2 linked regions of the Caenorhabditis elegans genome follow. The protein of the gene in region 2 purifies or fractionates together with the protein of the main gene of each other region. This does not show direct contact. Each region holds a gene or a part of one and is shown on either strand. Other genes may lie near its edges.

What was found.
Region 1: the proteins of F33H2.3 (region 2) and rop-1 fractionate together in Caenorhabditis elegans (co-fractionation; one large-scale study listed by BioGRID). This does not show direct contact.

The regions. Positions count from the first base shown.
Region 1 is NC_003283.11:10,252,297-10,257,117, reverse strand, and holds rop-1 (RNA-binding protein RO60), read left to right. Parts: upstream 1-2,062; 5' UTR 2,063-2,070; coding exon 2,071-2,141; intron 2,142-2,187; coding exon 2,188-3,102; intron 3,103-3,200; coding exon 3,201-3,849; intron 3,850-3,905; coding exon 3,906-4,202; 3' UTR 4,203-4,280; downstream 4,281-4,821. Other genes in the region: nhr-232 (Nuclear Hormone Receptor family), read right to left, coding at 1-11, 57-394, 436-569, 649-758; Serine/threonine-protein kinase akt-1, read right to left, coding at 4,667-4,821. UniProt on the Caenorhabditis elegans protein: RNA-binding protein that binds to misfolded non-coding RNAs, pre-5S rRNA, and several small cytoplasmic RNA molecules known as Y RNAs.
Region 2 is NC_003279.8:15,032,443-15,036,016, reverse strand, and holds F33H2.3 (Acidic leucine-rich nuclear phosphoprotein 32-related protein 1), read right to left. Parts: upstream 1,503-3,574; 5' UTR 1,486-1,502; coding exon 889-1,485; intron 834-888; coding exon 741-833; 3' UTR 550-740; downstream 1-549. Other genes in the region: F33H2.8 (TPT domain-containing protein), read left to right, coding at 2,978-3,085, 3,188-3,379.

The sequences.
Region 1 (4,821 bases), on a different chromosome or scaffold from region 2:
GACTGAACAAACTAAAAAGGATGAAAATAAAGACTTCCGTGATACTGATATCTTACTTTAATTACATTACTGTGATGTATCTGTCTGTATTCTATCAAAGCGTGATTCATTCTTTGCAAAGTATTCAAATTTCGAATTTCCTCGGAAGGTACGAAATCGTCGAAAACGGATGTAATATTATTAAGAAGTCCAGTGATGTCTAATTTGACAATTGGCTCTCCTTTTTCATCAGTTTGAACTTCATAAGTAACATCCTTCGTCTGAGGAACACATATTTTATGATCTGAATTCACCGGAGAACTTGGGTCGGATGGTGGCTCGTGAGCATCGATTTTCATTTTAGGAGATGGTTTCTTGTTGTAATGAACAGCTGCATCATAATTATATTTGACATCTGGAAAATATTTTAGTTTTTGAAATGTGAAGAACCTGTACTTTCAGGTGTCATTCCATTTGAGAGACACTTTTGGTAACGGCAATATCTGCAGTTAAATCTATCTTCGTTGTTTGTTGTACATTTTTCATTTTTCTGACGGCATGTATACTTCTTTCCAAGTACGGTTGTTCTTCTGAAATATAGGTTAATACTGAAATTTTGATTATACGGATTTTTCATATTTAAATTCCAATTCTATATTTAAAACAAACCGAAAAAATGCTGCACATGCTCGACAAGAAGCAACCCCAAAATGAACACCATGAGCTGGTTCACAACAAATTTTGCATGTCAAAGTAGAAGAAGTGGGCTCTTGGAGCATATTAAATCGAATAAAAAAGAGGTCAGTGAGAGACTAACAGACTATGTGTCTTGTGCTCTTTCTTCAATTGATATGACGATTGTCCCAATTTTGATAAGATACCATGACATGCTCCTTTGATCAATATTGTGATCGGTGTGACAGAGCAAAGAAATCGAATGTTTGTCTTGTGAGATGGGTCAATGTGTTTTCTGTAAATACATTTAAAAGTTCGAAAAGTCGGAGACAAGTGGAACTTGGCAGACGACAGTTTACCCAAAAAAAAATTGGTTCGAATATGAAATATTTGAATCTAACCTTCGTATGTAAAAATGTAGATGACGATTTTTCTCTGGTGTCCCAAAATAATTGCTATTGTTGAATAGGTGCATATGAAATAACTTTTTTTAATTGGAATACTGGTAATTTAATTTTCTAGTGTTATGCCAAATGCAAAGCTTGCGCCAGGTCTTTCTCAGAAAGTGCATCCTTTGTATAACAGAACCCTTCTGCAGAATACAATTTTTCATAATTATTAAATTATTTTTCGCATTCGCGAGCTGGAAAGTTTTCATCAACTCAAATTAATCATTACATGTAATCCGCTAAACTCATTGTATTGTATACAGTATCTAGATATATCTGTATACAGTATTGAATTTAGTAGTTACTGTGTGCAAAACAGTTCATTTGCACGTGAGCGTACGCCAACTCACAGAAAAACCTACTCCTAATTAAAATTAATTTTTTTTATTAATTAAAATTTTAATTTAATTTTTTTTGATATTCTTCGCGTACTTTTTGTAGAAACATTCATAATTATAAAGCCCCACGTTTGAATAAATTGTTCAAATGTTTTATTAATTTTAATTTTTCAATTATTGCCTCTGAACATAACAGAAAACATTTAAATTATCAAATTTAAGCGAATAAATGTTTAATTTAAAAAAAAAACACACGTATGTAATGTTCACAATGTTTAGTATTTCAAAAACTTTCAAAATATTGCTATTTATTTCAAGTAATAACTGACAGCACTTGAACATTTCGAAACATTTCCAAATTTTGTCTCCACCCATCAGTTTCCCTATAAAAATCGTTTGCTTTCCTTTCACTCGTTTTCTCTGACTTCCTCATACTCTCTGTCGTATCTCAAATACGTTCTCGTTTACATTTTCAACTCCATTCTTTCCCACAAACATTCCTTTTCAGTGAATTTTTGATTTTCGTTGCCAAGTTATTCCGCTCTCATGTTAGCAATTTTTGAAACTCTCAACGCCTTTCTCGTCTTCTTCGAAAACATTTCGTAATATTGTTTATTTCAGAACCAATCATGGCTGATGAGTTGAATGAATTCCAAGAGGCTGGAAATTTTAACGAGGAGGCATTGATGAGACTCTCTAAGTAAGTTTTCATCAAAATGAAACGCTATAGAAACGTTTTTTTCCAGCGTCTGCGCCCGACTTCGCCGTATGCAAATGCTGGAATCTGATGTTGAGATTACTGTTGTCGATGGTGAACTCAAGAGAGTTCCTCGTCAAATGGAGAAAGTCAAGGATGGTCAAGTGGAGAATAACGCCGGAGGATTCGTTTTTCCTGTATCTGATGAAACTCAAGTTCGTCGCTTCTTGATCCTCGGTTCTGACAAAGGAAGCTATCATCAGTCGTCTGAAAAGATCACTATAGACAACGCTCAAAGAATCATCAAAATTATTGAGCAGGGTAACGGACATATGGTTTTGAAAGAGCTGGCATTGATCAATGCTGAAAACCGTAATCCAAAGATGAACGCAATGATCTTCACATTGGCAATTTGTGCTCGAATCTCTACTCATGACACAACGAAGAAAACTGAATGTCCAATGCTCAATGCCTACTCAGATTATATCCGAGCTCTTCATGATTCAGCGCTCGATCTTATTCCGGAGGTTTGCCGTACACCAACCCATCTCTTCGAATTCGTTGATTATTGTCAAACAATCTCTGAAAGTACTAAAGCAGGAGGTGCTAAATCTTCAACTGGATGGGGTCGTTCAATGAGAAACGCCATCAGCAAATGGTATACCACAAAGACAACTGAAAAGTTGGCAATGTTGCTCACAAAATACCCACAACGTGAGGGATGGTCTCATCGCGATCTTTTCCGACTTGCTCATCCCAATCTTATGGATAGCCGTTCTCATGGCCAAAGCGAAGATCGTCTTGAAAGAGAGCAATTGTTCCGATTTGCGGTCAAGGGAGATTTAGTGAAAAGAAAGAGAAAGATGTCTGTCGAGGAAGTTGCTGAAGTTGAGAAGGTCTGGGATAAGAAAGCGTTGAAGCTTCCGTACACCGAGGAACAATTAATTAAGGAAGAACAGAGCAGGTCCGATTTTTGACCATTCTCGGTTTTAATTTTATTCTTGAGTATATAGTTATAATTTATTTTTCAATTAAAAATTAATATCAAAGAAACATTTTCAGAGCTCTCAACCTCGTGGAAGCGTACCTCAAGCTCAAAAACGAACAAAGCGAGGAAGTCATCGTAGCAGCTATCAAGAAACATGGACTTGTCCGTGAGCATCTGCCAACTACAAGTCTCAATTCAAAACTTGTATGGGAAACACTTTTCGATGTTTCAATGCCAATGACTGCTATGATTAGAAATCTTGCAAAAATGACCGTTGTGGGCGCCCTTGATGAGAAGAGAGTTGACAATATCGTGAAACGTCTCACTGATCAAGAGGAGCTGCGTCGTTCTCGAATTCATCCAATAAATCTTCTGACTGCCCGTGCTGTCTATGCTCAAGGTCGTGGTGACAAGGGAAGTCTCACTTGGGAGCCAAATCAAAAGATTTGTGACGCCCTTGAAGCTGGCTTCTACAAGGCATTCGTGAATGCACCACCAACTGGAAAACGATACTGCTTGGCTCTCGATGTTTCTGGTAGCATGACCTCTCGTGTCAGTTCGTCACCACTCTCATGCCGTGAAGCTGCTACCGGAATGTCTTTGATCAACCTTCACAATGAAGCCGAAGTTAGATGTGTCGCCTTCTGTGATAAGCTCACTGAGCTTCCGTTTACTAAGGATTGGAAGATCGGACAAGTTAATGACTACGTTAACAACCTTGATGTAAGTTTCATAATGATTTTAATATTGAATTTAATATTAAATTATTGAATTTTCAGTTCGGCAGAACAGATTGTGGCCTTCCAATGACTTGGGCAACAGAAAATAATCTCAAGTTTGATGTCTTCATTATCTACACCGACAACGATACCTGGGCTGGAGAGATTCATCCATTCGAAGCCATCAAAAAGTATCGTGAAGCTTCTGGTATTCATGACGCGAAGGTCATTGTGATGGCAATGCAGGCATATGACTACTCGATTGCCGATCCATCTGATGCTGGTATGCTCGACATTACCGGATTCGATTCGGCTGTACCACAGATTGTTCACGAGTTTGTTACTGGAAAGATCTAATTTATAGTACTGATCTGTTATTTATTTCGCATGTTTCTTTGTTCATATTTTGTCATTCCATAATAAAAATACGAGGATAAAATTCTTTCATTTGGATTGTTGGATATGATATAGGAACATAGTACATCCACGAATGATGGCGCTATTTGGTTTTCACAACCGTAGCTTGTGAGTAATATTACAAAACGATGATGGAATTTTGAAATGGAAAGAACTACGGTCTCAGGTGAATAAAAAGGATAGTATACAAAGGGAAGGAGGCAGAACAGGAAGAGATGAAAACAAAGAGATTTCTCATTTTAATTCGATATTTACTGAGAATAGATCAAAATATAGTCACTGTAACGACTAAATATTTGTTTAAAAAAGGATATCTGAATGTCAGACAAAGGGGTCAGTTTTCTACAGTCTGCAAAACAGGCTAAAATCGCAATTAATTAAATTCAAGCCATTGTGGTGTCAAATTATCCCATATCATAATCTTCGTTGTCTTCACTTGCTTCATGAATTCGATTGATACTTCCCATAACATTGTGGAATGAGAATTGTGTGAAGTTTGATTGCATTTCTTCTTGCTCATCGACTGTAGCAAGGGCTCCGCTTCTACTAGGCGGTGTCA
Region 2 (3,574 bases):
AGAAATGTGGGGGAAAAGTAATGTGGACTGAAAGCGCTAAACAACACGCGCGCCCGTTATTTCGGAGTCTCGTTTTTGGCAATTTTTCAAATTTCGAGTTTATTGACTTTTGAAGTTTGCGCTACACACAGGCAGAACTATTACGGGAACAATAAATTCTGAGAATCCGTATTAATAGCGTATTGCGCAACATATATGACGCGTAAAATATCTCGTAGTGAAAACTACAATAATTCTTTAAATGACTACTGTAGCTGATACTTTCGAAACAAATTGTTTTTAGGATTGTGGCAGGCGATGTTTAATTTTCCTCTAATTTTTCGTGTTTTTTGTCAATTCGATGCCTTTTTTATAGTTTTCATCAAAAAATTAGAAAATAAACAACGTAAAATCTGATCAGCGCTACAGTAGTTATTTAAAGAATTACTGTAGTTTTCGCTGCAAGATATACATATGTTGCGCAATACGCATTCTCAGAATTCAGTGTTTCAGTAATATAATATGGTATAGAATGCACACAAAAGCCACAAAAGAAAATAAAACGATAGATTAATGTTAAAGATTTTTTATTCATCAAAAAGTTGTTGCAGTGTCTGGTGGTTTGGGTTCAGTTTTTCAGATCATTAAAGTTGGGGTTTAGTGTACAGCGCAGCCATAAAGAAAATGAGGGAAGTTTTTTTGGAAAAAATATTTGAAATAAATATATTAGGTTGAGATGATGAGTCCGTAGGCGTCGAAGTTTACTCGTCGTCGCCAGCTGCCTTCTTGTTGTCTGGCTCTTCTCCGTTATCAGAAGCTCCACGTTTTGTCCCACGTGGTTCAGCGTCTCCTCCCTGAAAAATTGAAATTAAGAACATACGTTTCTGAAATATGAGTCCGAAAACTAACCTCTGGAGCATAATCGTCAGTCTCGTCGTCGGAGAACTGGCTCTTCTCGAGATAGCTGAGTCCGGGTCCATCTTCATCGCCGCTTCCCTCCTCGCTGTCTTCTCCTCCCTCACCGGCAAACTCCTCCTCAACTTCCTCTCCATCAACATCGCATCCATCAAGAATCTTCAGCGATGGAATCATCTCGAACATCTTCTCACGATAGTCCTCGAGGAGTCCGAGACTTGGATTATTCGACAAGTCGAGCTCGAAAAGATTTGGAAGAACCTTTAAGCACCGGAGATTATCCAAAGAGAGCTTGTTGCTGGCGAGTGTGATCTTCTTAAGATCTGGAGCATTTTTCACAAGAACATCAAACGAAGCGTTGTCTCCAAGCTGATTGTCACTGATATCCAAATAGGTAAGAGCTGGAAGAGTTGGGAACCCGGCGAGTGTGGTGAGTCCGCACTTCACCATGCTGAGCATCTCCAAGTTGATAAGCTGGTCGGTGAGTCCTCCGATTTGTCCATCTTCAGCGTTGTCGAGGAATAGAGTATCGACAGTAGCTGGATCCCTCTCTCTGAGCTCTTTGACGTAGATTTCGGCCATAGACGGCATGATTGAGGATGTAGTCTGAAGGTAGAGGCATTAAAATAAAGTTGAGATGTAAGAGACAAGAGAGAAAATTAAAAAATCGAACAGAAAATGGAGTTTCTTTCCGAATTGGAAACAAGTCGAATAAAAAAAGCTATTTAGACGGTCACAATCAGTATAAAAATGCTTAGTCCATTTAGAGTCCAGTTTCTTACATCACGCACGAATGACTCAAGAAACACGGATAAAATCAATGAAACGATGGTGCAGCAAATTTTGGAAGGCTATGTTAAAAATTCCAAGCGAATAGACTGATTCTATTCGCTTTATATACGATTCTATAATGACAATGAACGCGCAACGCTCAACGAACGAACAAAATCGATACACTGCCAAGAAAAAAGGCCTAAATTAGGAGGAGAGCGCGCGAAAAACAAATTTGGTTGCGCGCGCTGAGAATCAAATGCATTAGCAGTGGAGCGCGTTTGTACACCACTGACGAGGGGAACATGTGAAGGTGCTCAGAGGAATAGCATAAGAGACTTATGTCAGTCGATAGACCATGTTTAGAAACGGTGATTTGAAAATTTTTAGCGGCGAATCTTCAGAACCAAGTTCACGGCGTACGCTCAAAGAAAGCGAAAACAACAATGTAACTGCAAACACTAACAAGGGAAGTAGACGAACTCAATCTCTGATTTTGGTATGGATAATACTATTTGATCGGAAAAATACCATGTCATGTCAAAGTCTGAGATTAATTTCATCTACTTCCTTTGTAATGGGTCAATTTTCAAAATTTTCCAGATATAAGCATAAAAATTGCATCAACAGCATTAACATATTTAACAATAACATTTACCGCACTTCACATGCTTTAATCTCAAACAAAGATTTTTTTGATAAAAAACTTTCAACTCCAAACGTGTAAAGTTGATAACTTTTCCATCAAAATCCGCGGAGACATGAGTTTCCGAAGTGAATATTGATCCCTAAGTGCTACGTTACAGTGTTGTTTTAGATGTCTTTAAGAGCATGTCGTGAGCTTGATTATGGAGACTTGCAGCTAAAAGTTTACGGATAACCGTTTCTAAACATGGTTCATCAAACGGCATAAGTCTCATATGCTACTCCGCTGGGCAGGTTTAGGGGCGGATCGAGGGCGGATCGAGAGCTTCTCTGGAAAGTGAGCTGGCGAAAGGAAAAATTATAGAACATATATAGAACATATATTGAACAATATGATTATTGAATAGAAATTTGTATTTTTTTCACAAAAAAATGAGCGAAAATTGTATTTTTCTGTGTGAAAAAATACATAAAGTGAACTAATTGGGATCAATCAAATTAAAACTAAATCTTCTATGCGTTTTTGAGCTTTTGTCGGATATTGTTTCCCAGATGTTTCCCAGAAAGTTCAATGACTTCACTCTGAAATCCACTCTGAAATCCATAAAACCTACTACACACCTCCGAGAATTCGATAAAATCTCATCAAGATGCCCCAAATTGTTCGATGCGCCTCTTCTCTGTGAAACGAAACGAACATATCCCTGCAGTATTCCACATAGATTTCACTGAGTTTGCTACCAAAATGTCAGCTGAGAAAAAGGAGGTTTCAAAGGTTTGATTTTTTTTAATTGTATTGATTTTCGATTTAAAAACAAGATTTTTAATCCAAAAAAATAACTCACTATTTTGCTTCAAAAAATAAAATAATTTACAGTCAGAAGCTGGTTACTACTTTCTCCTTGAACTTGCATCGGCATTTGTGCTCTCGGCGGCTCATAATGTACTATTTTTTGTATTGGACATTAAGCTCATCGCCACAAGCTTCGCCCAGTTTTTCTTCACCTTCATTTTTCTGAAACTGATCCATTTTGCAAATTATATTCCACAGGCGCATATTCCCAAGAAGGTAAATTTGTTTTCGCCATTTGCAAGTAAAGCTCCTAATCCGAAATTGTGACATCGGATTTTGGCACAAACAAGACTTTTCTGCTACCGTACTCGTAGGTATTGTGTCAATATCTTCCGTTTTCGGTAAGTTTAGTGTTTTTTGTGTAGAAGAAAACTACAAGACACATATGATAGTTCACCGTGCGGAAAATGT